Drosophila melanogaster: one gene and its partners. The protein of the gene in region 4 interacts with the protein of the main gene of each other region in a pairwise test. Each region holds a gene or a part of one and is shown on either strand. Other genes may lie near its edges.

What was found.
Region 1: the proteins of CG13245 (region 4) and CG6023 interact in a two-hybrid assay, tested with the Drosophila melanogaster proteins (one large-scale study listed by BioGRID).
Region 2: the proteins of CG13245 (region 4) and CG10621 interact in a two-hybrid assay, tested with the Drosophila melanogaster proteins (one large-scale study listed by BioGRID).
Region 3: the proteins of CG13245 (region 4) and CG13482 interact in a two-hybrid assay, tested with the Drosophila melanogaster proteins (one large-scale study listed by BioGRID).

Annotation. Positions count from the first base shown.
Region 1 is NC_004354.4:18,311,453-18,319,357, reverse strand, and holds CG6023 (uncharacterized protein), read left to right. Parts: upstream 1-3,456; 5' UTR 3,457-3,625; coding exon 3,626-3,776; intron 3,777-4,021; coding exon 4,022-4,341; intron 4,342-4,421; coding exon 4,422-4,868; 3' UTR 4,869-5,234; downstream 5,235-7,905.
Region 2 is NT_033779.5:18,949,596-18,957,807, forward strand, and holds CG10621 (uncharacterized protein), read right to left. Parts: upstream 4,837-8,212; 5' UTR 4,677-4,836; intron 4,196-4,676; exon of another isoform or gene 3,979-4,195; 5' UTR 3,966-3,978; coding exon 3,809-3,965; intron 3,743-3,808; coding exon 3,563-3,742; intron 3,403-3,562; coding exon 2,744-3,402; 3' UTR 2,611-2,743; downstream 1-2,610. Other genes in the region: CG10428 (uncharacterized protein), read left to right, coding at 1-299, 352-1,329; Nedd8 ubiquitin like modifier, read right to left, coding at 1,646-1,751, 1,812-1,942, 2,103-2,120; Bhmt (Betaine-homocysteine S-methyltransferase), read right to left, coding at 6,349-6,729, 6,836-7,450.
Region 3 is NT_037436.4:14,325,897-14,332,599, reverse strand, and holds CG13482 (uncharacterized protein), read right to left. Parts: upstream 3,255-6,703; 5' UTR 3,164-3,254; coding exon 2,855-3,163; 3' UTR 2,715-2,854; downstream 1-2,714.
Region 4 is NT_033779.5:16,000,960-16,008,513, forward strand, and holds CG13245 (uncharacterized protein), read left to right. Parts: upstream 1-3,365; 5' UTR 3,366-3,734; coding exon of another isoform or gene 3,735-3,896; 5' UTR 3,897-4,056; intron 4,057-4,128; 5' UTR 4,129-4,150; coding exon 4,151-4,393; 3' UTR 4,394-4,502; downstream 4,503-7,554. Other genes in the region: CG34167 (uncharacterized protein), read right to left, coding at 2,102-2,485; CG43816 (uncharacterized protein), read left to right, coding at 3,735-3,896; CG31820 (uncharacterized protein), read right to left, coding at 4,947-5,135.

The DNA of each region.
Region 1 (7,905 bases), on a different chromosome or scaffold from region 4:
ACGCGGCGTATACTTATTATGACGTATACTTAATATGGCGTGGTAAACAAGCTAACAGGAACCTGGCTCAGGGAACCCCAGTGCGTCACAGCTCGCACCTCGATGACTTGTGGAAGATGGCCAGTGCCAAAAATAGGCACTTCTCTCACCTGTCCGAGCCCCTTGTTTTCGTACCGCATTTGCCTTTGCCTTTGATGGGCGGTAAGACTCTGCCCAAGTGCTTCCCACAGCGCTCCATTCATAATATAATGCGCTGGGCAAATAAGTGAGTGTGTGCGCCCCTCTCTCGGTTGGTAACTTGGTCGGAAACTCGGTCGTTCAGCCGGTCTGTGCCCATGTCTCCAAAGATACGTGATCCGAGAGATAGTCGACACTGCGATCCGGCCTGAATGGGAGGTGACGCGGCAAGCCGGAGAGCTGGGGTGCTGGCACGGGAAAGAGAGCCGGGTCGGGGCAGCTTCTAAACACAAACGCAAATACGGAGCAACGTCGCTCGGTGATTTACCCATCCAGCTATAGACATATGTATGATATCAAGCCGGCCAGAGTGTCTGTGGTCAGTTCGGCCCACTCCCAGATGACAGGTGACGGCCATCGAATTGGGGTATTTCCTCATGGCGATTCTAGATTCTACATTCACGTCACCGACCGTTTTATTCGGTCAAGGGTAGTCGATGGCAACTGGCATTTGGTGCCATTGAGGACTTAGTTTTAAACGCCCTGATTCACTTCGATCTTAACTAAGGTGCGGTCTTTCCACCACTGTATTTCCATACACCAATTATGTGGAAGTTGGCACAGTGGGAATTCTATTTGAATGGAGTAAATTCCATTCCAAGCGATAAAACATTAAGTATTTAAGTCGATGCGTACAGAACGAGAAAGATCAGTAACGGCTACTTCTAGAGTATAATAAAACCAATGCAAATCGAATGGTAATCTCCCAATAATCGAATGATTAACCTTGGCATATCGCACACATCAACCACATTGAGTGTGCCAAATTAGAACAGTATAAGGAAGATTGCAGAAATAATCCTTTCTTGACTCTCAGATGATGCAAATTTAAATTGAAATTTAAGCTATTATTTATATATGATTTCCCGGTAGTTTATGTACTTTATATATAATATAAAATAATCAGTTATAATGCCATACAATCTGAAATTGTCTTCTGTGTGGCAAATTAGATCTAGAAACTGATTGATATATTGTTCATATCCGAGTTGCATTAAACACTGTATCTGTTTAATGTTAACAAATGTAACTTTATGAAAAATGTAACTTTGAAGGAAACACTATCTTCTGTCGCGTGTGCATTTGGCTAACGAGAACTTACACAATGAACTTACACGTGCATCTTGGTGGTATATTTGCTAAATTTAAATATTATATGCCTGGCTGAGGCGATAAGTCTGAGCGATATTTCCGTCGCTGTAAGTGTGGGATGTTTGCAGCTTTTTACTACGCTGAGTACTAAGTACTGTCGTACGTCACTCTGGAAGAGCTCATCAATGGAATGGTCATTTCTAAAAAGGGAATGGCAAACAGGAACGAGCGATAGATAGCGGATCTCCCTCAAACCGGATGACGTTGCAAGTTTAGCGAGTTCAGGCCGAGATTAGTGCGTGGCCAAAGTTAGCACCTCCTCGAGTGCGATAATTAACAGTCAACAATGCCTGGATGGGCGCAAAAAAAAAAAAAAATAAATTATAATAATAATAAAGAGGAGGAAATCAATACATATCGAATCAAAAGGAGAAGGCACCCATCTAGCGCTGAACAAATGCAATTCTGGACTGACAGCGGGCAAACTGCATTGGAAAACCCTTGGACATGGCCTCCAGCTCGAATTCCGGAAAAGTTGGCAATTATGGATCTGCCCAGAGCAATTGGGTAAAAACAAAGCTCGAAAAATTTGCCCAACTGATGAAATACTACGCAGAAAACTCGACAAGGGAATACGACTCCCATGAGCTTTGTGTCCCATGAGTGGGTTGAACTACGTGCGTCTTTATGAGTAATTGCTATGTCAAAGTGTGAGTGCCATGTTGGGCTAGGTTATGTGCTTGCTCGATGCACTGTGCACTACTGTGCACTGGCCATAGAAGAGACAGACACTCTGTCTGCCGGTTGCCGGTGTCTCTTATACCCAGTGCTCGATCAATTGGCCAAGTCCAGCGACCAGCGGCCAGCGGCCAGCGGCCAAGTGGCTATTGCCAGTCAGTTGCATGCAAAACGCGCACGTGCCAAGCGATCGATCGGAAATGCCTACGGAACGACGCGTCATTTGCCAGGCAAGTGGCACCCGCATCATAAATCGCCACTTAGTTAAAGTAAATACAGTAAATCGAGTAACTGAAGAATCCGAAGTGACGCCGCCGCCACAGCAGCTAAGAGACACGAGATATTCGCAAATTAATCAAAGTAAACGCGATTCCACTTTGGCTAATTCAGCCTGATGGGCATTGAGACCAATGTTGAATTTACATATAGCCATTACAATTTCCGGAAAGCTCAGTATTCAGGCATCAGGCTTATCAAATTTCGTACAAGAACAGTGAAATTCCCCATAAAAAATGTGTTTGTTGTCAAAATGTTGCCTCGAGCTTTTTGCTTTGGGTGTTACTCTGTTAGCTTGAACACTGAGTTTGGAATATGTATACCAAACAAATTCCAAGAATCTATCAAACATGTATTAATCAGCTAACAAACAGAGCAATTGGCATGTGTCGTTAAACAGTGACTAAAAGCCACTCATAGACAGAGCTAAACTAAAATGTTTGCAGTCGTCGTCCTCCAGGCAGGCAATTTAAATAAGGATTCAATGTTGCGATTGTAAGGTCAGCCTAATGCCAGTTGGCAACCAAGATGCCCGATTACTTGGTGTAGGGTGCAAGAATGCAATGCGACATCCGTTTTGGGCCATGAAGCGTGTGTGCATAAATTACAACGGTTGGCAACTCATTTGCCGCAAGACAGGAAGAAAACAAAACGTCATGTGCAGCGCTGCAACAGCGGCATGAACTACTGACCAGGGAGTAGCTAATCCCCGGCTGAGTCAGGAAGCCCATCCAAGCCAAGCCAAGCCAACCCACCCACTCACCCACTCACCCCCACCTCCGATAATTGAGAAAACCCAAATTCGAACTCCCTTTGCGGGCCGTTGTTTTTTTGATTCATTATCGTCATCGACCATCGGCCGCTGATGCTGCCGTTGCTGCTGCTGTGGTTGCTGCTATTGCTGCTCTTGCTGCTTGCTGTTGTTGTTGTTCACTTGTCGCTACAACGAGCACAACAAGTGTGAGTACCCGCCGCCCGCGCGCGTGTATGTGTGTGTGTGCGTAAAAAAAGTAAGCTCGGCCACGCGCTGCGCCGCTCGTGCGGCTTCGGCTACTGATATCGCCGGATGGCGGTCCGGTTTGTATTTAAATCGCCGGCGTGTGCCCCAACTCCTCATTAACCGTAAGATCTCGCAGAGCCCGCACGCCAGCCCCAGCTCTCCAGCTATCCAGCTATCCAGCTCTTTAGCGCGCTTTCAATCTGAATCTTGGCCAAATATCGAAAACCAATAAGACATACTCTCCGAACCGTGTGTGCCTAACATCACAAATCAAATCAAAATATGACCGCCAACAGCAGTGCCAGTGAATCCTTCGAGCTCCAATTCTTGGAGCGACTACAGCAGCAGCAGCAGCAGCAGGAGCAGGAGCAGAGTGCTCCGGCGGCGACAAAAGCGTCCTGCCAGCAGCAATCCAACATCATCGGTCGCATTTGTAAGTGTGCATTAAGATCTAGCGCCTCTGAATCATGTCGCTCTATCTGTATCTTTGTATCTATAACTGTGTCATCGCTGGGCAAACAGGAAAGTGCTCATCAAATGATAGGGATCTTGGGCATTGAAGTTTTCAATCATCATTATCTTATTGGCCAAGCCTGGGCATCCATCAGGATTAGGGAGATCTTTTGAACATCTTTGTATGAATCCTATTTACTGACCTTCCATCTTCTTGCATTGCAGCTACCTCCAAGTGCTGGCTCCTGGGCATCCTGCTGCTACTCACAGTCGCCACTAGTTGGCCAACGGGGACAATTGCCGCACCGCGTCGCGCTCGAGGATTGAGCCTGATTCTGCCGCACCGCAATCACGCACGACTACACCATCACCACCAGCACACCAGGTCAATAAGCACCAAGATCGTGCCCCTGTTAACCAATCAGACTGAAGGCAGGGAGCAGTGCACGGACCTTAAAATGACTCCCAATATCGAACACCTGCAAGTGGCGCTCGAGGTGGCCAAGAATACGCGGGAGGCGGTCCTCTGTCTGACCAAAGAATGGGTAAGTTAGCTAGAACGATGGACTTGCGGCAGCAGAGGCACTAAGTTTCCCATTTCCCATTTTTTTTCATTGCGAAACAGCTGAGGAATCAAAACCACACCCTGCCCCAAGATCTTCACTCCTACTCTCTGCATTCCCTGGCATTGAAGCATCCGCTCCAGTCGGAGGTCAAGGAAGTTAAGTTCCAGAACCAGCTGGGTGACTTTGTGTACAGTGGCAAGGTGACAACGCTGCAGGAGGAGATGCCGGCCATTATCGAGTCCCTGCTGGTCCTGGAGCATCTATACGAGATCATTGTGTTCGATCACCAGTCCTGGAACTGCTACTTCAATAACTTCGTGCATTTCTTCCATCACAACATGCACGAGGCTCTCAAGGTCGCCGGTCTCAACGATGCCTGCAATCCGAGGAACGCCGAGTACAATGCCGATCACATATGGCCGATGTTTGGCGCCGCCGTGGAGACCATCAAGGTGCTGACCATCATCGAGCACAAGTACGAGCAGCTGATCAAGCTGTATCAGTAATCCGCTGGACAGAGTTGGACGCTCCAGAGGAGCAGTAAAAGCCATACCAAAAATAATCGCCTCCGATGACCCACTGCAATCTCAAGCTAATAGGCTATGCCCACGAGTATCCAGATCCGTATTCGTCTACTAGACACCCTCATCTGCCTTAGACCCTATTATTTATTATAACTTATTAAATCCCCATTGCCCTCATACGTATTTATATCGCCTTTGCATCCTATTTATATACATACGCGTACCACCATACTCACTGAACACATTCACCGCATCGCAGGCTCGATAACTTATGAAAACTATTACTTAAGTGTATTTTTTTTATATATATTTACAATATTACAATGACTATTAATAAATTATACCGATAGGCGCATACGTGAAGTGCTTTTCTTTTCTGGTTGACCAATTTCATCATTCAGATGAAATTAAGTTACAACGAATTGGGGGCTTAGTCAACGGTGGGAATTCTGCCAACCTTTCGAAGGTCTACAACATCGATTAAAGCATGGGTGGTCATAAGATGTTTCCATGAATTGAAACAAGTGGAAATGGAACAAATCAAAGGTAGAGTTCAAAGTATAATTCTCAATTGCATAGCTAGCTAAGTAAATCGCTTAATACTTAGGGTTTTTTGATTTTTCACTGTTTTTTTTTTGGGGACTCGCGGGTTTATGACCTCCAATGCTTGAAGTTGGCAACCCAATTACCACTCCCCCAAATCGGAAATACTGGGGAAGTATGCGCGAGATTCCGTTTTTGGCCCGACTCGTCACCTGCCCTGACCCACCCCATTGTCGTTTATAGCTCGTGCCCGGGGCACGTTCCGATAGATAGATAGATACATAGATAGATGTATGTACATACATATATATCGGTTCGAGGTTTTCCACAGCGCGGCTGTTAAGAAAACCCCAAGTACCGTACAGCCGTCTGGCTGTGACTCATGGACCATTAGGCAAAATGTCGGGCAATCGTCGTGTGATCTCTGCATGTGACAAAGCAGTTTGTACACGGTAAAAAAGTGTGATATCTCCCCAGTGGCGGCTTATCGGAAATGTTTTATGATCATTCCTATCTGTAGTTTCTGCATGGTAGTTCTGCTTCCTGCATAAAAGAATCGAAAAGCTTGATAGGGCTACAAAAAAGGTCTGCAGAGGGAAAGTAGAGGGCTACTTTCTTAAAAAGGGTTCTATCAAAACTAACAGCCAAGGAGACCATTATTTATTTTTTTTTTAAAGCATGCCTACGTACATATATCGTTTGGGGTATTGTGTTGCCTTCGTTGGGGCACCAAAGGACCAATTTTACCGTTGCCACTTGACTGGCTTCCCCATTCTTTGGGGGTAATCGGATCGGATGGTCAGGAGCGATCAAAGATGGTGGTGCGTGGGATGGGGACTCGGGGATTCGGATTCAGCTAGGGATTGGGCTGGGACTGCAGAGCCGTTCGCGTGGCAATGGCGTCAGTCGCCTCGAAAACCGATAGCTGTAAAAGCTGCCGCCGCAGCGAATTGAATCAGCGGCAGAGGCCGCCGCCGCAGCAGCAGCAGCAGCAGCAACAGGCGCAGCAGCATTTTCTCTGCTGCAGCGAGCTGAGGTTATGAATGAAAATCCAAGTCCACACAATGTTCCGCTCGACAACCTGTTCTTCATCTTCCTCTTCTCGTCGCTGGCCGCACACTGTACCTCTCTGTCTCTCGCCCTCTCCCTCTCTCACTCGTTCTCTGTGGAGAGCGGGAACCTGTTGCGCTCTGCTCTTTCACTCGAATCGGCGCTCTCCGCGCCTCACGTTTGGAGCTTCTTGGCCGCTCGCCGATTGGCCAGAGCGCTTCGGAACCGCTCGTCTTCGGAGTGACGCTTAGGGGGCAGCGGACCAATCAGCGACGGGCCACTGACACACATTCACAGTTTCACCGATGGGCCTACGTGCAACGGCCCACGCACACAAGTGCGTAGAATGGCATCTCCGCGCCACGCCCCACCGGCTCCCCCTCAACCCATCGGCCAGTGGGTCAAAACGAGCTCCAGCAAATCAATTAACAAACAGAGTACATTTTCCTGTGAGGATATTATGGGCGTAAAAGGATTAGATGACATGTGTCGAATGTACAACTGCAGAGGAGCTTATTGGACCAACGACTGACTCTTGATGAAGTGTAAAAAACGAAAGTAATGGTAATGAAATTGTTGCAAATTTAATTTAATACATTTCATTTGTACATATTCGGAATACTAGTAAAATAGCTAGATATATATATTTAACGAAAGTGTAAGATACTTTTAGTAAATTAACTGAACATTAAAAAGATGGTATTGCACAAATAATATATTACCTATTGCCTATAAAATTGGAAATCGGGCGCATTAAAGCCGGCTAAATATAAGAAAAATGTTTGTATAATTCAAAGAGAATGACAAAAGTATGTCAACTTGTTCTCACAGTTCCTAGCTGGCCAGTACATATATGTAAGATATATTTATATGTACGTGGATTGAAAAATGTAAGCTTAAAGGTCTAACAAATTTGCAATTTCTATACTGACCAACTAACCATTAATTAAGGCATAACGATGTACCACTCTTCGAGGCGATAATCAACATCAAAGAGTTAAAGCCGACTGAATGCTGAATACTCAATAAATCCCAAAAGGTACCAGATGAAATCCATGGCGAATCCGAATTGCAACGGCAATTGAGGATCGGATAAGCGGCGGAAAATAGACAGGCAAGCAAACAAACAAACAAGATACAAACAGACAAGCAAATCGACTAACTAACCGTTTAAGTTACCGTTTCGGATGTGAGAATTGCACTTCGGGATCTTGATAAAGCGAGCGATTTTACGCATAATCAAAAACATCAAAACAACAGAGGAACTGAACTGAGAAATGGGAAACTCACACCTCCCCCACCCATTGCACACCCACACCCACAGTTACACACCCACGAAAACAGGAAAACAGGAGGTTCGGACGTAGGTAGGCATGCCTGGGATGGGATCAGGTCCTGCGAAAGGACAGGAGCTAAGCAGCGTGTA
Region 2 (8,212 bases), 2.9 Mb from region 4:
CCCAAGAAGTAGTGAGGTTCGAGCAGCACATGAACGAACCGGTGAGGATGCATAACATCTATAAACAGGCCAGAGAGCAGGCCAATCAGACTGAGAATGGCGGCAAGGTCAAGAGGAGAGAACGAGTGCAAATCAAGTGCACTACACCTAAGGAAGAGCTGCTTATTGAGCACCGCTTCGCCGAGGGCATCAGTTTCACAATTGCGGATATAATTTTGTACCCCCTTTTGAGAATTGTCTTCCAACATTGCGGGCAGATGCTGCCCCATTTTCCACTCACTAGTACCTGGTTCAGCGAGGTTTGTAGATTTGATCTGTAAAAGTAACTAGAGCTAATATTATATGTTTTAGATCGACTCTTTCGGCGATAAATGCGCCAGGGTTCTAAGAGATCTTTATGTGCCGCAAGCAATTAAGACCCCTCCCGGAGAACTGGGAATCCCCGACTGCGAGGCCACCAGTCTGTACAAAGCCGATCCCAAGCGATACAAGCCAAGAAATCGGATTTACACTAGTCAGTTGGAGTTGGAAGCGGCTCTAAGTAAGCTTTCCTCGCTGCAACTGCAATTTAATTCCGATTCGGAGCACACCTATGGCCAGCAGCTGATCGACTGGGAGCAGATTGAGCCCACACATGCTAAGAGTTCAGCGCTGCCCAAGGAGAGACTCGAGCGCAAGAGGCAGCAGCTAGAGAACTTGGCCAATGCGGTGGTTTCCCTGGCTCAACCGGGCGACCGCATTGTGGACTTCTGCAGCGGCACAGGGCATTTGGCCATACTGCTGGCCCTCAAGCTGCCAAATTGTACCATTATTGTGATGGAAAACAAAGCTTTCTCCCTGCTTCAAGCTCAGAAAAGATCAAACGAATTGGGTTTGACCAACTGCGTTTTTTACCAATGCAACATAGATTACTTTGTCGGAGGATTCAAGATCGGGGCCTCTTTGCACGCGTGTGGAACGGCGACAGATATCGTTTTGCAGCAGTGCCGGAGAGCCAAGGCACATTTTGTTTGCTGTCCTTGCTGCTACGGTTCTCTGCAGCCCATGCCTCACATTTCGTACCCATTGAGCAAAGCGTTCCAAAAGGTGTTAGACACAAAGGACTACTTGTACATTGCCCACTCGGCAGATCAGGCACACGAGATGGGGACAACCAACTGCAAGCCAGAAACCACGCTTCAAGGACTCCACTGCATGTCCGTGGTGGACACCGATCGCCTGCTGCAGGCGGAGGAGGCGGGCTACCAGGTCATTCTCACACGCTTAAAGCCCGAACAGTGTACGCCAAAGAATCACCTGCTAGTCGGACGTTTTGTTAAACAGAACTGAACTTACAATCTGCCACTGAGACAAAATAAATGCCTTTTTGATATGTTTTAAACCTTAGCCCACCATTGTGGAGTGTTCTTCTTTTTTTCGAATGATTTAGATGTTGGCTTACAAAAAAACATGTTTTATTACGGACCCGGTTGGCCCCAATCCATTCTGTCTAAATTCCTCCGATGCGAATACACTTTGTTTTCTTCTAAACCACTTTTAAGACTTCTTTTTAGTTTACATATATTAATTCTCCATATGACGCTTCTCAAGCTTAATATATTTGAGTGAATTTTAAATGAATGTTTTCCACTTATGAACACGCTAGTTACACACAAGGTGTTAGGATTGAATCACCTCCTCGCAGAGCCAATACCAAGTGAAGAACGGATCCACCTTGCACTTTGTAGTCCGCCGCGGTTTTATCGTCATTCCTGGGGGGGATCGCATGCGAAATAAGCTAAAATCAATGACCAATAGCCAGAAAGACTCACATTTGCTTGCCGGAGAAAATAAGACGCTGTTGCTGGGGCGGAATGCCTTCCTTTTCCTCCACGCGCTCCTTGATGCGATCTACCTTGTCCGTGGGCTCAATGTCGATCTCGATTTCCTTGCCGGTCAGGGTCTAATGGAAAGATAATACATATTTACATTAATAATCCAGCCACACATATATTGACTGTAATATTCGACGATTTTGTTGTTGTTCAAAGTGCCCGCTGGGCACGATGGCTGTGATTTATCTTTATCCTACTTTTTTGCTACTCCATATCTTCCACACTAACCTTCACTTTGATCAACATTTTGTGTGTATTTAACTAGGCGCTCCTGTACAAATTCAAAATTGCCGAAATTTTTGCAAATCTCCACAGCTGGTTCTCTTTTTTGGCTGTCACTTTCGGCGTTGGTACGACTGGCAACTATCGATAGTACTGTCGATGACCATCGATTGTTTTCCACACTATTACAAATATAGTATTTTCTCCATCATTCCATCTCTACACAATTCACGTGTAAAAAAATACATTTCGAAAAAGGAGAACTTAATTTATGTAAATTTTTTGTAGCTTGATTTATAGTGTGCCCATTACGGTTAGAAGTCTCACATATTTAGAATTCAAATTCTCCTTAAATTATTTTACTCATGAGATGCAAAAATCCATTGAATGCCATTACTACATTTTTTAACTTTTGAAAAAAATGGAAGGCGTCACTTTTGAGGGATTTGAATTAAGAGCAATTTGTTTATTAATGTTTTATCTCGGATCTTAGAAAATTAAAAAGTATTTTTTTGTCTTTTGTCTTTTCTGTTTTATTAAAATAAGTTGTATGCCTTAATAACTAAATACATTTATTTACAGTACTAAATGGATAACTACTTTGTTCTTTTCGAAGGTACTGAGATCCCCAGCTTAGAAGTTCATCCCTATGAGAGCTTCTTCAGTTTGTTCCAGTCGCGAATGGCCTCCCCGATGTGGCGTATATCCCTCGCATAAGTGCGACAGCATCCCCCAATGACCTTGGCCCCCAGTTGCGCCCACTCCGGAACGTAGTTCGCCAAGGGCACACAGTGCTCCCTTCCCTGCCAGCCGTTGACCACGTCGTATACCTCTCCGCTATTGGGGTACACCACCAACGGTATCTGCTCACCCACTTCGCGGTCACCATTCAAACTCTTAAAGAGCGGGGTCACAAACTTCGGATGCACACAATTTACTCCGATGGCCAGGCACTTATCCTGGGCATTTCGTTCAGCCAAGAGGTCCCAAATAGCATTCGCCGCGTCCGCAAAGGTTTCTCCATGCGCCAGGGTATTCTCATCCTTGCACTGGAAGGCCACCCAGAACTTCACATCCGGATAATCATCGCACAGCATCTCCACCAGGGCCTCCGCCTCCATTTGACAGGGAATCGTCTCGATGGCCAGCGCATCCACACCAGCCTCCAAGCACGCTTCGATCCTCACGCGATGCCAGTCCGTAATCTCCTTGGCCGGCACAAAGTCGGCATAGCTACCGGTGTACTCGGAGCCATCGTGCAGGTGGGCCCCAAAGGGTCCAATGGAGGCAATGATCAAAGGGTATCCTTTAAAAACAATAAATTGGAATATATAATTGGTAAATATTACTATATATAAAATAAAGTATTAAAGAAAGTATTAAAAGTAATGACCCTACCACATCATTCACTTGACCACAATCTAAATTAATCCCGCCCGAGCTGGACCTCATGGATGTCAACTTACCCTCCTGCACCGACAGCTGCGCCTGATAGCACTCGGTGAGATAGCGTTCCTTGGCGATGTGGGCCAGGCGGACCGTGTTCTTTATCAGCTCGATGCTCTGCTCCTCGTCCAGCTCCAGGTACTCCATGTAACCATCGACACTGGACTGGTAGGTGTTGGTCAAAATGATATCGGCACCATCTGGTGTTGTCAAGGGGAAAATTCAGTTAGTATGTTGCCAATTGCTACCGGAAAACAATTGCTTACTCTGCAAAAAGTCCAGGTGGGTGCTGATAATGGCCGCCGGATTGGTGGCATTGAAGCGGGCACTCCATAGCGGATCCCCATCCACAGAGTCACCCACATGGACGGTCATCTGGGTGCCGAAACCGCCATCCTTCACCAGCACGCGCGTCAAACCCATGATTGAAAGATTACTAAGAGGGGTGGAGGATGATCCGTTGAAAATTGATTATTAGTTACATTTCTACGTCAGCGGGCTGCGAGATAATTAAATATGTATATTGCGTCTGCCACCTGGATTCCACTGCACTCAGGGCGATGTTATACAATGTATCGGAAGAACTAATCTCTATTTTTCAGTTCAACGAACTTGGCAGAACAAAAGACCAGTGGCTTAATCTAAAAAACACACTGAGAAAAACAGCTCAAAGTTCTTTAGCTAAGATATATGTTATATGAGTCTTATGATTTATTATAAAAAAGATTTAATTCTAGGAGTATTCAGCTTTCACTGAATAGTATACAAATTTAAAACCAAGGTCACATTTTTACGTATCTCAATAAATGGCGAGTTAAAAGCCTGAAACATTTTATTCTGTATACGCTAAATTCAAAATATACATCAGCTCTTTAAAATTTGGCAACAATTTTTGAGAAATATATATCTTTTAAAGTGAATCATTTATTACGTTTCAAGATCTATTCTTGTTCCAAATTAAAAAATATATTAATATTTAATATATGTAAGTATTCCAAGCATAACATTTTTAGATTGCTTATAAGATCCCTTTGTTGCACTTTTAAGCATACTCCTTGGATAGTGTATACACCGTCTGTCATCAAAATCTATCGGTAGGGAAGCGAAAAACACACGATAAGGTCTCGCACTCACCTTGACAGCTTGTTTATGGATCTTGTAAATGGGCAAATTCAATAACAACTTTATTAGACACTAGACTGGCTGGTTGGTTATCAAGTGGTTATCACAAATCTTTCGGAACGGTGGATATGATCAGTCGCAATGGACGCTCGACGAACGTTTAAATGTTTCACGTATCGTCGAGGGGCTTTTATACTTTCCGAAGGGCCACTCAGCTGTGCGGCTCGGCTTATCAGGGCGAAATTTATAATATTTATAATAATTTATAACAAAACAAAACGGCAAACACAAACATGAGAGTGCCCCCACCAAGTGGGTGATAAGCCCGGTGCACAGCTGCCAGACGCTGGCCAGCCAGATTGGATTGTCCGGGTGGACTGCGACTCCCCCTCCACGAGGCTGATGAAGCTGATGAAATCGTCAAAGCGCCGCTGTGCGTGGTTCTGGCTTCCGAGTGACTCTGCTCGGGATGTCGCATCTGCTAAGTCGACGCCGATAACCTCTGGACGCCGCCTAGGACCAACACTTCAAGATGTACTTGGTTGTTGACTCTGTCCTCCTTAAAGGAAAATGGGTGAGCTTCCGACCGCACTCAATAGATTATGGTCCAAAAATAGGTCTACTGATGTCAAAGAGAAAAACAACATTTAACCCCTATTCTGGTAAACAAATCGCTAATGAACAGGAAATAAGACATAAGATATATCAAATAAAATCTCCTCTAAAAGAGATGAGCTTAAAGTGATGATTGTTATTAATATTTGGACAAAAAAAAAATAAATAAATAAATAAATAAATAAAGTAAAATGTAAAGTAAGAGATTGACCGACAAAAGGCTTTCAATTTGAAAATGGCCGTTAAAATCATGTTTTTTGAACGAAGTATCCGATTAGGCTGATTGCCAGATTGGGTCAGAGTGCAATAGGTGGACATGTGGCTCCACCATCCTCAAAAGCTTCAACAGCCAAAAATGTAAGTACTCTTTTAAAAATGCGGTATGAAGTTCCAAAAAATTTTGAAATATCTTTCATAGTGATAAAGTCGAGAACCGCAAGAATAGAAGGGCATACCCTTCTCTATAAAGTACCTTGCGTACCAGAAGGCGTTTGCCTTGGTACATATGTAAGAAGTGATTAGATTTGATGAATCTCTAATGAAGATATTATTTTAATACTGTACTAAAAATATGATATATTGAAGATAACTAAAACAACTATTTTTGATATTTTTGTAGTTTATTGCTTTACATCAGTACATACATACACACTTTTAACAATATTAATTTTAAAGAATTTAAATCCGGCTATAAAGAATAGAAAGCTAAGAACACAGCAAGTTTTTCAAAGGACAAATGCACGTTTTTGTGTTATAATTGAATAGAAAATTGTTTTGATTTGGACTCAAAAATTGAGCTAGGTTGGCAAAAACAGTCGTTGGGCGAACGTCTGCCCATATCCCCAGCCCACTTGTTTACCTTTGGTCCGCCCGCCTAATCTGTGTTTGTCTCCCAGCCAGCCGTCCACGCTTTTTTCCACACTCTGCTGATTAGGAAGCCATCTGATCTGGGTACATCTAGTACTCGCGTATATGTATTTAGCAAACTAAATAGGTCTAGGTCTAGTCACACGAAACAGCTTTCGCATTAGCGACAAGGCTGCTATCAGTGACCGGAGTTCTCTCCCGATTACGGCTTTATGTTGAGGCCATCGACGTACTTGCGGATCGCCAACACGTCCGTCGGATAGACCCGGCAACAGCCGCCAACGATGCGCACTCCCAGCTGGATCCACTCGGGCACAAACTTGACCACCTCCTCGCCGGTTCCAGTCCAATCTCCCTGCTCGACGTCGTAGATCTCGCCGCGATTGCTGTAGACCACCAGTGGGATGCGATCCGAACCGGCCACTTTGGTAAGCGATGATAGCAAAGGGGTCACGAATAGTGGGTTTACACAGTTCAGACCGATCCCAAGGAGCCGGTTCTCAGCCTTCCGACTTTGGACCAACCGCCAGAGGGAGAGAGCCGCCTCCGCGAAGTTTTCTCCACTAGCCATGTGCTTTTCATCCTGAAAATATCGGAACATAAAGTGGATTTTTAAATGTAATTGAACGATATATTTTTTACCCTTGTTTTGTATAAAGAATGTTATTGTTTTTTGCGATATTACTCACCATGCACTGCAGGGAGACCCAGAATTTGGCATCCGGAAAGTTGTCCAGTACTAATTCGGTGACTGCCTCTGCCTCCATCAGACATGGAAGTGTTTCCAGGGCCAATCCATCCACTCCAGCTGCGAGACAAATCTCAATTCTTGTCTTGTGCCACGCCCTCAGCTCCTCCTTGGACATCTTGTCCGCATAGTTGCCGGTGTACTCAGATCCATCGTGGAGATAGGCGCCATATGGACCTATTGAGCCCATGATCAGTGGAAGAGCCGACTCCGCTTCAGAACCGATTTCGCTAAGGTACTGTTCCTTTGCCTGCTTGGCCAGTTGAACGCTCTTTTGGATCAACTCCACACCTCGTTCTCTGGTCACGCCCAGGTACTTCACGAATCCCTCGACGCTGGACTGATACGTGTTGGTTAGAATAATATCCGCTCCGTTGCGAAGAAAGTCCAGATGTGTTTGGATCACAGCTTCCGGATTGGTGGCATCGAATCGCGATCCCCACAGTGGATCACCGTCCACTTTTTCGGTGACATTCTTGGCCAATTGCGAGGAGAATCCTCCGCATTTGACCAGAATTGGCTTGGTGTCCCAGTTCCATTTTTGATTCACTTCCATGTCTTCACTGCTGTACGTTTTCCGTTAAACTGCAAATTTCTGGAAGCGTACAATGCGATACGACAAAATTTCGTATCTGACAGATACGTGATATTGTAAGTATTGCCGACTTGGAATTTTTGTTATTTTTGTCGGATTTTTTCGCTTGGGCTGGCAACTTTTTCCGCTTATCTTGTATGAGTTTCCACAACGCAAAAACCTACACATACCCTAACACATCTCAGCTGTTCTTTGTTTACGAGTGCAGTGAGCACTCGATAAGTTGGAATTCTAAGAAATGTGTCTTGAATTTTGTAGCTAGCTACATAGCTACATATAATATAATAAAATAATAATATAGTTATCTAATAAAGAATCAAAGATGTTTCGAAACAAGTAGGAATCAAGTTATGTTCAGTTCCTACTGTAAAAATGTAAAAATTCAATGGCATTTAATGTCACAAAGGTACTAAAATAGCAACAAGCGGTTGACGAGAAGAAAAACTTGTATGAGGTACTTAACCGCAACATTATATATACATTTTTTTCGATAAGCAACAGATGTCTGTGCATTATCTTTTGTCTAGAAGCAACCCAACAGCTGATACAGTTGATGATATACAAATTTCATTCGCTTAGGAGAGGGCGGCAAGTTTGTTGCGTTTTCCCAAGGAAACCAAAGAAAACACTGAAGTAAATTATAAATACAATATGCATATTTTATATAGTCGAGATAATACATAATGCAAAACAATTGGTGTACTAACATAAACGCGTATGTTA
Region 3 (6,703 bases), on a different chromosome or scaffold from region 4:
TTCCATATCGCGGCTTCTATCGCAGATGTACAAATTTATTTTTGCGCTTTCCCAGGGGCTGGGTATTCAAGAGGATATGGCAGAGGAACTGGGATCCAGCCCATCATTAGTACTAACAAGCGACATTACGCGGCCTTAGTTTGGGACTAGTTTTTCGGAATGCGTACTCGATATGGAATGGCCTTTGTCTTCGGTTCGGGTATGTTTATTTAATGAGAAGTTTTGGGTTGGGAATTTTTATAGCACCGTGTGGGGGTGAGCCATAACCCCGTTGTCCCACCGTTCTTATCGTATTTTTGACTTTTCATGGGTTTATTAAATTATTAGAAGTAATCCTGCGAACTGAATTCCAGAAATTTCCTTTGATTGTTATGTGAATGGGCTTATGATTAGTCCTCGCTGGTTGGTACACGATGGGCTGTGAGTACGGTAATGGGTTTATTCTCCCGATTTGATTGCGCTCTATGCCAGGCGTTCTTTGTGGCTACATGTTATTGGCTTGTACTTTAGTTGGGTAAACTCATTAATGGACCATCAGGTCGAATTGGTGATCAGTGTATGAACATTTCATTACTTACACTCTGCATAATTCTAGTTTATGGTGTGGAACTGCCATAAGTACATACCTGAAAGAAGAGGAAATTGGGAAATTAGTACGCTGTCTGTTGGTGTGTGTGCATTAATAATTGGCGGTTTATTTTGTGTAAGACACGACGTGAGCAATGGTTTGAGAGTTTTGAACTGAGATTAAATTAAGAATCAATTATAATCCCTTAAAATAAGAATACTTCCACTCATCGACAATAACAAATCCTACAATATTTTTCAATAAAAAACAAGTAACTGTCATTATGACTCAATCTTTCACTCATTTTTCATTTTTCTCGTGGTGTGCAAGGTTTTTCCTCTTGCATAATCACTGAAAGTATCTGACGGATGCTCAAGCAACTCGTATTTCTATTGTTTTCTCTCATCTTTCAACTCACTTTTTCCCCGGTAGAGCCAACACTTGGCCAACTATGTAAAGTAAACATTTTAATTACGAAAAAAGCGAAGCAACTTTGACTTGACTTCTTTTCCTCACCCACTTGCTGTTGTTTTTCCAACATTTTCAACTTTCGCGGCAAACTAGAGTCGACTTGCCATATAATTAAATACAAATAACAATTAAGATATACGAAGTTGGCAGGCGGCTCCATTTGGGGCTAAAGTATGGATCAGGCTAGGCCTGTGGCATAATTTAAGTTTTTTAATTAAAAGCAAGCCACGCGCATTGAGGAATGGTTTTTTTCAAACGCAAAAATTATGAATTGAGACGTTAATTGTCATCTAGTCAATTTAAGGAGGAGGGGCACTTTACCCTCATGCCTGTCAATTTTCGAGCTGTCCCATGAAATTGTCAAAAAATCGTTGATAGCCAGACCCCGAAAAATGTTCATATTTAATTGACAGTCTTGGACCAAAAACCTGAAGAGAGTGCTCGAGTGTCACTTACTGCTACCAATTCCATTAGCGCGACATGTCAATGAGAGAGCTATAGTATACGACAAGGTATCCTAAAAACAATTTGGGGTATGTACATTAGCTAAACACTCCATATTCTATTTAATATTTAACATTGAAGGAATTTGTTTAAAGTTGTTGAGAAAAAAGCTTTTGAAACATTTTAAAATTACTAAATAACTTAAATCTTAATTTTTTTAAGTTTATTCTTCAGCTATGGTATTTTCCTACCACTTAATCATTTTCCTTATTTTTCCAGCTCTTCAGTTTTAACTAAGTTATTTAAATCACACTATCATTTTAATCATTAGATCACTTAAATCTTAATTTTTATAAGTTTATTCTTCAGCTTCTAAATTATGTGTAGGGTATTTTCCTACCACCAAATCATTTTCCTTATTTTTCCTGTTTTTTTAGTTTTTACCTTTGGGGCGTTTCGGCGTCTGTCGCTTGACTTAATGGCAACATGTTTTACAACATTATTAGACAGGCCAAAATGGAAGCGGTTTTTTCGGATTTCTGGTCGACAACTGGCAAATTTTAATTACCAATATTTTCCAGGTGTCGATACCCATACGACCTACGCCGGGGGCAGCATTTTATATTTTATGACAGGCCACATAACCCACAGACAAATATATACGGGTATTGAGAGACCCACTCTATATGGTAGCTGCTGTCTAATTAGCGTTTTGTGACAACCGCAGAAAAATAAAAGCGTTTCGAAATGGGTTTGTAATTGGCAAACATTTTGTTTGACCCACCCGAAGCGAATCTAAGCCGTACTAAAATTATATTTAATTTCATTTGTATTTATCGGCTTACAAACTTGTTTTCGTGGGTGGTCTTGTTTTGTGTTTGTGGTTGCCAATAATCTTCTTATTGGATTAGAATTTCTTGAATTATTAAGTTTTAAAATTATTCTTGATTCCTTTGGCTTTAAAATCAGCTTTATATGTATAGAGAATCGTTCAATTACGTTTTGGTGAAATCTTTGCGTCATGTCAATCAAGATAAGATTAGTTGTTATTTTATACTTTATCGTATGGACATTTGTTAACTAAGTGCGCAGTACACGTATTTTTGGAATGCAGAAATCCATTACGAGTACATACATATATAAAAAATTCTACATGAATTATCATCGTACTTCTTAATTTATTTATTTTTACTTTCCCCAAGGAAACTAGCATTCAAAAATGTCTTTGTATAAGTCTAAGTGGTTTTAATGATTTTTTTGGTTTTGTTTTTTGTACACTTTATGTAATAAATTAAATTCGCTTATAAACACTTTCATTATTTCGCCACCTGATGGCTGTGGTTTTTAAGACCTTCCTTCCATTCCATTGTACTAGCAGTGATGATGATGATGTCCATGGTGAGGACCATGATGATGGTCAAAGTGGCTGCCGTGGTGATGATGATGATGATCGTAGTGGGGCGGCGGTGGCGGAGGTCCGTAGTGGTGGTGGTGGTGCGGCGGGGGTCCGTGGTGGTGCATTGGAGGTCCGTGGTGGTGATGGTGGTGCACCGGAGGCGGTGGGTGATAGTGGTGCACCGGAGGCGGTGGATGATGGTGGTGGTGATGATGTCCACCTCCACCCAAATTCAGGCCAAGGTGGATTCCAAACAGGCGATTTTCGTGATGTGGCGGCGACATTTTGAATGTTTTACTTTTTTTAATCCTTATCAAACTGATATATTCCTTTCGAAAACTGCTCTCGTTGCTTGTTGAATGCTAACTGCCTTTCCATCCGCTGATATGACCAGTTTATATACACATCCCACTTGAACAGCTTGACAATTCAGATAGTATTATTGTTGTGCTGCTTTATCTTATCGAAGGGGGTGTGTATTCGACTGACTCACTGGGGATTCACTTCGATTCTATTGCTAATACTCAAAGTGGGCTATAAAGATAGCAATGTTTTTGTGCAATCATGGATCGGGAATTACTCACCGGACTAATTCATAACATTTAAGCGCTTTTATTCTTTTCATTCTTAACGAATGTAATGACAGTAATAGTAATAGCAGATGTAAGAAAAAACAAAAAGTATTTCGCAGACAAAACATCAATTTGATATTGCAAAAAAAAGGATGCTGACAAATAGATATGTAAAAGGTAAAATAAAACTTTAAGACCCCGCCAACAATAATTTCCGCCTTGTTTGCCAGACGTAGTCCTAAACAAAAAATAAGAAAATACAGTACGAAAGAAGAAAAGCGAGGAAAACCAAAAAGGCACTAAAGACACCCAACACAAGCACAGAGAAAGTGCGAGCAGGAAGGCAATAACCAGAAAGCTTTTGCATGAAGATTGGCATGGGTGGAGGTGTTTATATACCCCCTTTCGACCATTTCAATAAAAAAAATTGCACAGAAAGAAACAATCTCTTGATATAATTTCTTCTTATCAACACTTGCATAATATTTTCGTCTTTAGCTTGACAATCTTATCAGTGTATTGAGTATGAGTTATTTACCATGAAGAGGATATCTCTCAAAATAGGTACATGATTTTAGGGATTCCCTGTAAACTAATGTTAACTTTTCATAATGTTGCTAAAATAAAGTAGCTTTTTTAACTGATCTTATTAATAGAATATTTGATATTTACTGTAAGACTAGAGCCTGCGTACTGATGTAATATAATTTTGAGCCGAGTTATTAAAAACCAATGATTTTCTCAGTGCACCACACAACTCCACATGAAGGCGACTTCAGTGCGTGACAATAACTTTTGCCTTTGAGCCGCCTTAATGGCATGGGAAGGATGACTTTTGGGGGTGTTGGAATTAAGGGATGAGGGGCCACGGGCTGCGGACGACTCTGATAAACTGCGTTAGAAGTTATAAAGCGATTAGAGTGTGTCTGGAGTGCGTCTTGGGAGCAAAAGAGTGGGGTAGACAGAGCGGGCTAAGAGAAGGAAACAACTTTATGCTGTATCAATTTAATGCTTATTTAAAGTGCGACCAGAGGTTTTGTCCTCCTGCAGTTCAGGGAGCTAAAACGATATAGGAAATGAGTAAAAAAGAAGCTGGAAAGTAGGGGGAAAGCAAATAGAAGGGGGCAATGCAGGTAATACATAAATTTGATTTTATGGAGTTGCTTTTCAAAGAACTTCTGCAAAAGTTTGGTAATACATTTTATTAGCTTTGTAAAGAAATCTTTTGGTGGTAGATAAGGCAACCTTGGAGGAAAATAAGAAGAAAAGGATATTTGAGAAAGTTTTAGAAAAAAACTTCGAAGTTTATTAATGAAATTGGAACAATAAATTGAATTTATTGGCAACTTATTATAAACTCATAATAAATAGTAATTTACAAGAAACCTCAGGAAGTCTCAGAGATTTGCAATAAATCATAAGCAAATCATAATAAAATAACATGTCCTTCATACAAATTCATAAAATCTAATTTTATTCTGTAAAAAAAAAATACATTAGCACGGCCATAAAGCAGAGAATATCCCCTTAAAAACTCACTTTAGTGCTACCGTACCGAAAGCTTTTCAGACTTGATCATCTGGCTCATTTTCCCCCGCTGGTTTTGTTTACACATCCAATGAAAATTCCACTTTCAGTCTGGCACGTTTGGAAGGTTCCCCATGGGGAAGCGTTAGGCCACCCCATTCATATTAACCCCTTCTGCCGACGGCCACAATTATGGCCTTTAACCCCTTTGTCAACAACTTGAGTTTATTTGAGCTTTATGCGCACATGCTGAGTCTGATTTTTGGCCGAGTCCGAAATGCCTTTAAGCATTGTCCTCCGCTTTTCCCCCCACTACCACCATATATTCGCATCCCACGTTCCTCGTCACATAATAATTTTATGTGCTTTTTGGCTGCTGCATTTTTGCATAGTCAGACCCTGAATTCGATGGACCAAAGGGGGGTCTGGTGTGGAGGGATCCTGTGGAAGATTGCGACAAAAGCAGAAAATGTTCAAAAAAATAAACGTTGAAATTATTATGGTCTGTTGCATTTTTTATGGTTTCGTTCTATATATATATATATATATATATATATATATATTCTACTGTCTGGGGTTGCTTTGGTTCCTTTTTCCACATCTGATTTTGCAAACGGGTAAAATGCATAGAAAATTTGCGATTTACGGGATTTGGCTGGCTCTGATTTTCTGGTGAATTTATTTGTTATGTCTGCTCGTGAGTCACCGATGGAGATTTTTGCACGAGATACAGATTTTCAGGACGTGGTCCAGCAAAAGTATTATCAATTTATAAAGTAAACAAGCATTATTTTTCCTATATGCATGTAAATAAATCCTTTTAGAAAAATGGTATGTATACAAATTATTTTACTTAAATTCATTTTAGAAAAATTGCATGTATACAAATTATTTTACGTTGTATTTTAAATTCACAATTATCAAAATATCTTCTAGAAATCCCCATATTTTTGCTATTTTTCCCTTCAACGCAGAACAGCAGGGTAAGACAGCTCTGCCAATTAAGTTTTCAATTTCCGCAAGTCAACTTCAAAGACTCGAGAGAAGTCGAGCAACCACCGCTGAAACAAAGAACATGTTCTGGCCCTATTTTATACTTTTGCCAACTTCCCCCTTTTTGGTACATACACACACATGTATTTGTATTTGTTGACATTTCATTATGAAGAACTCACCCTGAAGACGACATTACATTTTAGATGGTGGCTCGAAATTCTTGATTTTTGTTTTGCCTACGCACGTAATAAAAATAATAATAATATTTGGATTCGGGCGCGTGTTCATAATTTACGATAATTGCCTCGGATCTTTGACATTTTCAATTAATTCGAAGAGGAGGTCTTTCAACAGTTGTCATAGATAAAAATCTCATATATTTAATGGCTAATGCTGGTTTTAGATTTAATAATGCGTGCCATGTCGTAAACGAATGTCGTATTTTATTCCGTCAGTAGTTATCGCTCATAAAAGTCTTATAATTTAAAGAGATTTTACGATCGAATAGGATAAGCTGAGGGATGCCCAACCGGACACCAATATCATAAATGTGAGTAAGGCAAAGTTGGTAAATCATTGCTTATTCTTAATTCATTTCCCTTTGGCTTTTCAAAATTTCCTTCGCTTTCGCCGCTTTTTCTACCATTTTCCCTTATTGACTTTATGGACTCGTACACGGATGTGGCGTTTCCGGCAAGGCAACTTCCTCCGTTTCCCACCCACGATCTA
Region 4 (7,554 bases):
AAGTAAGGGCATAGGTCAAGCCCTATTCTCCAGTGCGGGATATATATTCTGGACGGGCCAAAAATCCCCTGACGTTGTCCTTTCAGTAAACCAAACCCACCCACCGCCCATCTAGTGTCATGTGTATGTGCGAAAAGAAAAGCAGCCAAGTTGAGTGTGTGTGCGCCTGGGTGTGGGAAGTCGTGTAACGTGCTAAAATAAGTTAATTTATTGCCGGCACAACAACAATCACAACACACAAAGACAACAACTGCCGGCAGTCATAACATTTGTGTTGTTCACCAGTTACCCAAAGGTGAGTTACTTTCAGTTGAGCGTTCCGACTGGGTGATGATGATATCTGTATCTGTGATTTTGCTCCGGCTTTTTGTTGGGACTCTTAAAATATAATTTACGGTCATGTAGGCTGTGGATTTTGCAAAACCAAGCAGATTTTTGGCAGGAGAAATATGTTTCGGCAGTGCGATTACACACAAATAAAATAAAAAATAAATTTCTAGATTAGCTTTGAAAATTAGGATTCATTAAACAAAAAAAACTCCAAAGAATGAATGACCATGTAGTTCTAATCTTTTGTCCAGATTACTGTAACCAATCATTTAAGAAGCAAACTGATTTTGTGCCGTAAAAGACGCTTTAAGCTAATTACTCATGCTGTAATAATCTGCATTAGACATAATTCGATTTGCTTGACACTTCGTAATAACTAATTTATCCAAGTAGATGAATAGCTCAGAATAATGAAAGGACTTGTGCCGTAAGTCACTTTACAATTAGGTGTTTGTAAAATTAATTAACATTATAGAATTTTAGTAGTGGATATAATAGTTCTGTGTCGCCCTTTACCGACTCAGCAAAGGCAATTTCCCATTGTGAAAAACAATGGATGTACCGCTATTAAAAATTCAGTTGACCCAGTATGTTGATATTTACATTTGAACAATACATTTCTGAGTGAAACAATTTTAGCCCATATTTGATGGTAACTTTTGGATAATAACCAGGTGGTTAAAATATCAGAATACAAACCCGTTCAAATGCTTTCGAGAACATTATTCACCGGATATGCCTCTGGCGACTCGACAAAGTGTTTTTGTGGAAACCGACAATAAAAATTATGCCGTTCATTTAACTTGTTTGGGCGGAGATTCGTCTGAAGAAAGTGATGGAATGGCCAATTGTAAGTGAAAAGAAAATGTAAAATATTCATTCAGATCTTGTTAATTTGTTGCATAGATTTGGTTCAGACCTACGCCACTGAAAAAAGGCCATCAGTTAGAATTATGAAGAAAATTTTGCAGGCGCACAAAAGGCACGGCTTGGAGTTGAAGTTTCTAAAATATTGCGTGTAAATATATTGGAAAAAATTATTTATTCCCATTGAAAAGTGGTCTGTAGCCAATAACTAGACTAAGAAATATCATGCTAATTGAAAATTTTTATCAGACCATTTGCGTTTTTGTTTTTGAGCTTCCTTATCAAAACTAATGTATTGGTTTGTGAACCAAATTACATTGAGGTTTAATTAAAAAAGAAATTTATGGCTAGGAGCGCGTCAATTTGTTTTCAACTGTGGCAGTTTTTAAACGAAAATATTTTGGTGACTGGAACCGTTGTCAAAAAGTTCGTTCAATTGACCTGTCTTCGCTATTCAAGCGTGGCTAAAAAATACAACCGAATAGCTGAACAAAAACTGTCAGATCCATGACCTACATAAGTACGTCGTGTAACCAAATAGATTGGAAGGTTTTCGAACGAATATTTTGTTTTTCCCCTGCATTCGCTTCGTATGCAAAACCAAAACAAGCAGCTTTCAGATTTTGACCATTTTTCCATTGTTTTGCTAGTCTCTCGAATGGAAACTTTTGCCTGCCCATTTCATTCGTTTTTTGCGGGCTAGCTAACAAAAGTTCGAATGTTAAATGATTTTCATGGCGCAAACTTTGGCAACCCTGAAACTGGACCCCGGTCATTTGTTAGCCTGTCAGAAAGGCAACAAAAATGGGCGCAAATATGCAAGTCTGGCTGACACGTGAATTTATTGCATTCAAAAATATGAAAAGTTCCAATAAAAAGTGCAACAACAGGGTACTACAGGGTATTAGTACAGCGGGCCAAAGCAGCCCCATTCCCAGCAATTTTTGCATTTGTTCGGCACAAAATAGAAAGGTGGCGCACAACCGCCGCTGCAACATCCGCAGTTGCAGGTGCATTTCATGCAGGGCAGCAGGGGACCCACGGGGCCGTAGGTCAAGCGGTACGAGACCACGGCACAGGGCGGTGGGCCACAGCATCCGCCACTGGATCCACCACATGAACCGCCACATGATCCGCCGCAGGATCCGCCGCAGCATCCTCCTGTACCGCCCCTGCAACAGGAACCACCAACACAGCAGGATCCACAGCAGCCACCTCCGCCGCAGGGCTTACAACCAGACCCACAGGATCCAAACTGCGGTCGGCATCGCGGTGCAGCACAACTCATCCTAGAAATTACTTAGCCCTTTGCAACCTGTTGCTAAGTACTTGCCGCTAAAAAAAATGCTAAATACTCCGGGGCAGTGATGGACAGTCAGCTCACAGCTCCAGGCGCCTATTTAGCACCTTTTTTGTCCGCCAATAGTCACAAGTCCACTGGGAAAATTTTATAATTCCTGTCGAATAAAAACTCTTGCAGTTTCCTCAAGTATTTACTGGAAAAGTGACACCAAAGGCAAGGATACATGCGGTTGAAAACATTTTAAATTAGAATCGTATCGAATAAACATATATTGGAGACTAAGTAATTCCATGTATAATTTGCAATTTATATGGTAACTTAACGATTTTTCTTCCTATAAAAGTCTATAAAAGTACTTTTATTCCATCACTCTATTTTTGTCACCAAAACATTGCAATTAAAATTACATCTCAATTACACATCCTGCCTTGCGGTACCATTTAAAACCGACGTATGGTCGCTAGGAATATCCAACCAGAACCACCACGCTTCGTCGAACCCATGTCCTCTCAGTTACATTTGCACAGTTGACCATGCGTGGGTTTGTCTACTAGATCCTCACATGCAGACACCCTCTTACATGGCCTCTGGTCCGTCGGGAGATATTGTAATTGATTGTCTCCGCCTGGATGAATAGGAGTTGGATTGAAGTATCATGGACCGGAGTGGCAAAAACTTTCATCACGGTTCGTTATTCGGCGGATAGAAATTTGCATCGCCAACGGTCCGAGTTAAAACTCGTGGTAGAAGTAATAGAATTATGAAGTTGTTCTGAACAGTATGCAATCTCGTACTTTATTTTGTAACGCTTACTTGATTGGTTGTGTCACAGAGAACACCAATAGAGTAATTTAATTTATATATTCCCACAACATGCCATAATATGGTATATATGATTGAAGATCCCGGCTAAGGGCTTCCAAAATGTAGTTCACTTCAGCATCAGGGTGCCATCCACTCTCTCGTTCCGATTTAGCCAGCTTTCATTTTAGGCCAGATATCCAAAGCGTAGTCTAACCCGAGGGCGGCGTCGATGAGATTGTCAATAGCTGTCAGAGCGAAAAATCGCCTTTGCTCCCTGGGAAACCCAATCCACTTCAGTTCCTTTTCCACTTCGGCACCAAACACTCGATTTTGTGTCTGCTCCAGGGCCAATAACTATACACCCCACCCAAAAAAAAAAAAAACAATAGTAAAAAGAGCACACGTTTCGGAAAACCTAAACCAAGTCAAGATGTGTGGTGGCTGGGCCTGTGCCTCCTACAATATCGCCTGCTGCAATCCCCGCCTGTCGACACTGCGATTCTCTGGCCGCTGTTTCGCACCCACGCCCTGCGGTCCATGTGATGACTGTTCCATTTACGGCGGTTGCTGCGGTGGCTGCTGCGGGTGCTAGGTGATCTCTGACCTGGAGTAGCCACAGAGTTGGGTGGAGAGTCCGGAATTCAACTATCTTGAAGTAGGCCTTGGGAACTGTTGGCTGTCAGCCATGAAACAAATATCATTCAGTCCCAGTCCAGTCCTTGTCGGAACAACAACCTTAAACGTTCACCGGGGTAAGTTTCATTTATGCTTTTATAAAATTTTATTTAAAAATTTTATTTTTAATCATTCACATTTCCATATAGTTCCCACATCCGTTTCCTAACCATGTGTGGTGGCTGGGCTTGTGCCTCCTTTGACCTGGCCTGCAATAATCCTCCCTTGTCAACACTGCGTTTCACCGGTCGGGACTTTATACCCACGCCCTGCGGTCCTTGCGATAAGTGTTATGTTCTAGATACTAGCCGCAAGAAGAACACCAACAACTGCTATGTTCCGCACATCCTGTCTCCACTGGATGCGCAGCTCTGCACACTGGCGAGTACTCAGAAAAAAAAGGAAGACGAATAAACGCCAGGAGGAAATGCGGTCTTATACTACTAAAATTATCAGTGTAGATCTTCTTGTACCAGCCATTTCCATGGGAAACCAATAAAAATTTGAGGGACTAATACTGACTAAGTAAGTTTGTTCCTTAGTTAGAGATCTTGTACCTACGCTGTCGCGCCTAATTATTTTCATATTTTTCCTATCGGTATCCTGGTCCTGGTAAAACTGTCGACAATTTTAGTATATTTTTTTTTAAAGGAATATTAAATTTGAGCCATACAATTTCAAGAACCATTAGAGAAAGAATTATACCTCATGGTATACTTAGGATACTCAATCCTAGTAAGATTGTGCTATCTAGGATTTTGGTATATTTTCTTATTTTTCATATACGTATCAATGGAATATGAAATTTCTCAAGAAATTTGACAAATAGTAAATAAGAAGTTACTTGTTTAAGTACATTAATTTATTGAAAAGCTCGAACCATTGTGTAAGTGAAAATGTGGTTCAAACCAAAAGCACAAAAAAATTTCACGTCGTTTTCTTCAGGAATTGTCGTACCTTGGGTTTCTCAGTAAAAAGGCCCAAAGCAACCCCATTCGCCGGCACAACAGCACCTGTTAGGAGGACATGTCCAGGGACCACAGGGAGGATTGGGTCCACAGCAGCAGTTATTATAGTTCATGGCTGGCAGAGCGGGTCCGACGGGGCCATAAGCCAGGGCATAGGATACCGATCCACAAGCTCCTTGGCAACACATCTTCGGGAGGATAGGTTATAACTGAAGGAGATATTCGATAGAAAATCTTTCGGGGAAATTAGGACTACTCACATTTTGTTTAAGGCAAGAGAAATGCTTGAGTAAAGATTTCCAAAAATGTTGAAACACGAAATTTTTTCGTACTTTTGGTTTATGTACTGGTGAAAGCGTACGGAGCTGTTTACAAAACAAGTAAATAGACTGGAATGAGCTGAGCTAAGAAAACCAAGCCCATGCCCTGGGAAATTCTTCCCGAAGCCAACTTGATGTGGAAAAATTTAAAACCAGCTAGAAAGCCAGAAAGGAAATCAAAGTGGGCTAGAGAAACTGCCTTTAAAATCGATCAAAGTCAAGTTGTTGATGCTGCTCTCCTCCTGGCTGAGCTCACAAATTTCACACATCAATGATTTAACATCGAAGCGACAAATACAAAAAAATTGAATTTCTCTAACGACAAAACAGCAGCGCAACAGATTCGCCCCTCTGGCAAAAATAAGAAATCATTGAAACATGTCTAAAAAAAAAAAAAAAACGACGACTCTGGGCAGAATAACACCAGTATGAGATGGGATGGAAGATGCCGAAAGGATTCTGTACAGGACTCGCTCTAAACTGGGGCAACGGCAATGTCGAGGCAGACATGAAAGTCTATTAGACTCAACGAAGCAACCTTAACGCCATTTTCCAGCTTCCTTCGGTTTTCGGGGGGTTAATGTTAGGGCATGTGTGTGCGGGACAGGATATAGGATATACAGGACCTCGTGTGCGTCTGCGGGCGTTGTGATTCACAAAAGCTGACAAGCTCATCGATCCCTGAACATTAGCTAAACATAAATTACGCAGATGACTGAACAACAATTGAGGCGTTTATTATAATGTGTGTTCACACTTGAGGCTTTCAAAAGATGCACTCACAGCATATACATATACATATATCCATATATATGAGAAGTCTGTATCAGAGAATGGACAATGTAACTTATTTAAACTAAATTGGAATTGTTCAAATGGTATTAAATCGGCCAGCTTAAATTTTGAATAATGAAAAGCAATTGTTTTGGTTGTGATCAGCAAATCAGCAAATGTCAAATAACTACGCTTCAATAAATAAATATTTGAGTTTTTATTATATACTTAGCTTTAAAATACAATAAGATTAAAAAAAGATAATAACTGAAACTTATTTCATAATATTTTGTGCTATCAAATTTTGTGCTTACCTTAAACGCTGGATTTTATAACAATTTCAAAAATTCTCACTATTAACATTGGCAATGAATCCTCCGCTTGGCATTCCATTTGGCCTTATAATTTATTCATTCAACTTGTTTAAAAAGCAATTTACATCGATTTACCAATAACAGCTCGCTGTTGGAGAAAAGGAAAAACCACAGACCCCCAGACAGTTAAGAACTATTGCGAAACTCATTTCTAAACGAACCAAAAAAGGGAACCCAGCTTCAAGACTGCAATTGAGGGCCCTCCACATTCCTTCGAACCGAAAAACAACACCCCACTTAAGATAATCTCATTGGTAGGATGCCAAAAACTTATCCCCCTGCACACACACACAGTGTATAAAAATGTCACCACAAAAAGGGAGAAACACCAGGGAAAAGCAAAACAGCAGGGTAAACAAGTGAGGCTTCAACTAAAAAAGGTATTTCCTTTTAAATCAAATACAAAAATTTCTGCCGGGATTCCAATGCCAGTGCCTCTTGGCCGCCCTGCCTCTTTTCTCTTTTTTTTCTCATTTTTTTTTTCTTTTCCAAGTGGATACGATGGGCACTTCATTTCACTCCAAAAACATATTGAGCCGGGCCACTTGAGTGTGCGCCAAGAGATAAGCGCAATTATATGGCTTCCACTCCCTGAATCCGGACATAAATGGGAGATCGCAGGGGCCGCAGGACATTGGGACAGTGGACATTGGACAACCGCCCAGCGTAAACTGTATAAATTAGGTAAAAAGGAGAACTTAACGTTACTTTTGTGACACGGCCTTCATTGAGACAAATGTGCGGTCTTTAAGTGCAACGTTATTTTCACTTTTTTCCTTCGAGCACTTTAAATTTATTTGCCACAAGAAGCACGGCTATCGGGCCACCGATACTCATGCCCCCGAAATAAAAAGGCATACAAAAGATGTGAAATTCCTCTGAACTCTGGCATCTCACATTTTGTCCCTGGTCAAGTGCTCGTTATGGGCAATTTCTGCTCAAACTGCTTTCTGGGTGCTTTTGTTTTAGTTTCTTGTTTTTTGCTGACCGCATGCTGAGTATGGCTCTTCTATTTTGTGTGGGCCTCCATTTGAAGTGCCTTTGTGGCCGATCTCAAAAGAGGCAACTTGTCAAGCATCGGTTTTCGGGGAAAAGCTCATAAGTGACCATTGAAAAGTTTACACTACGAAGTTGTCAAT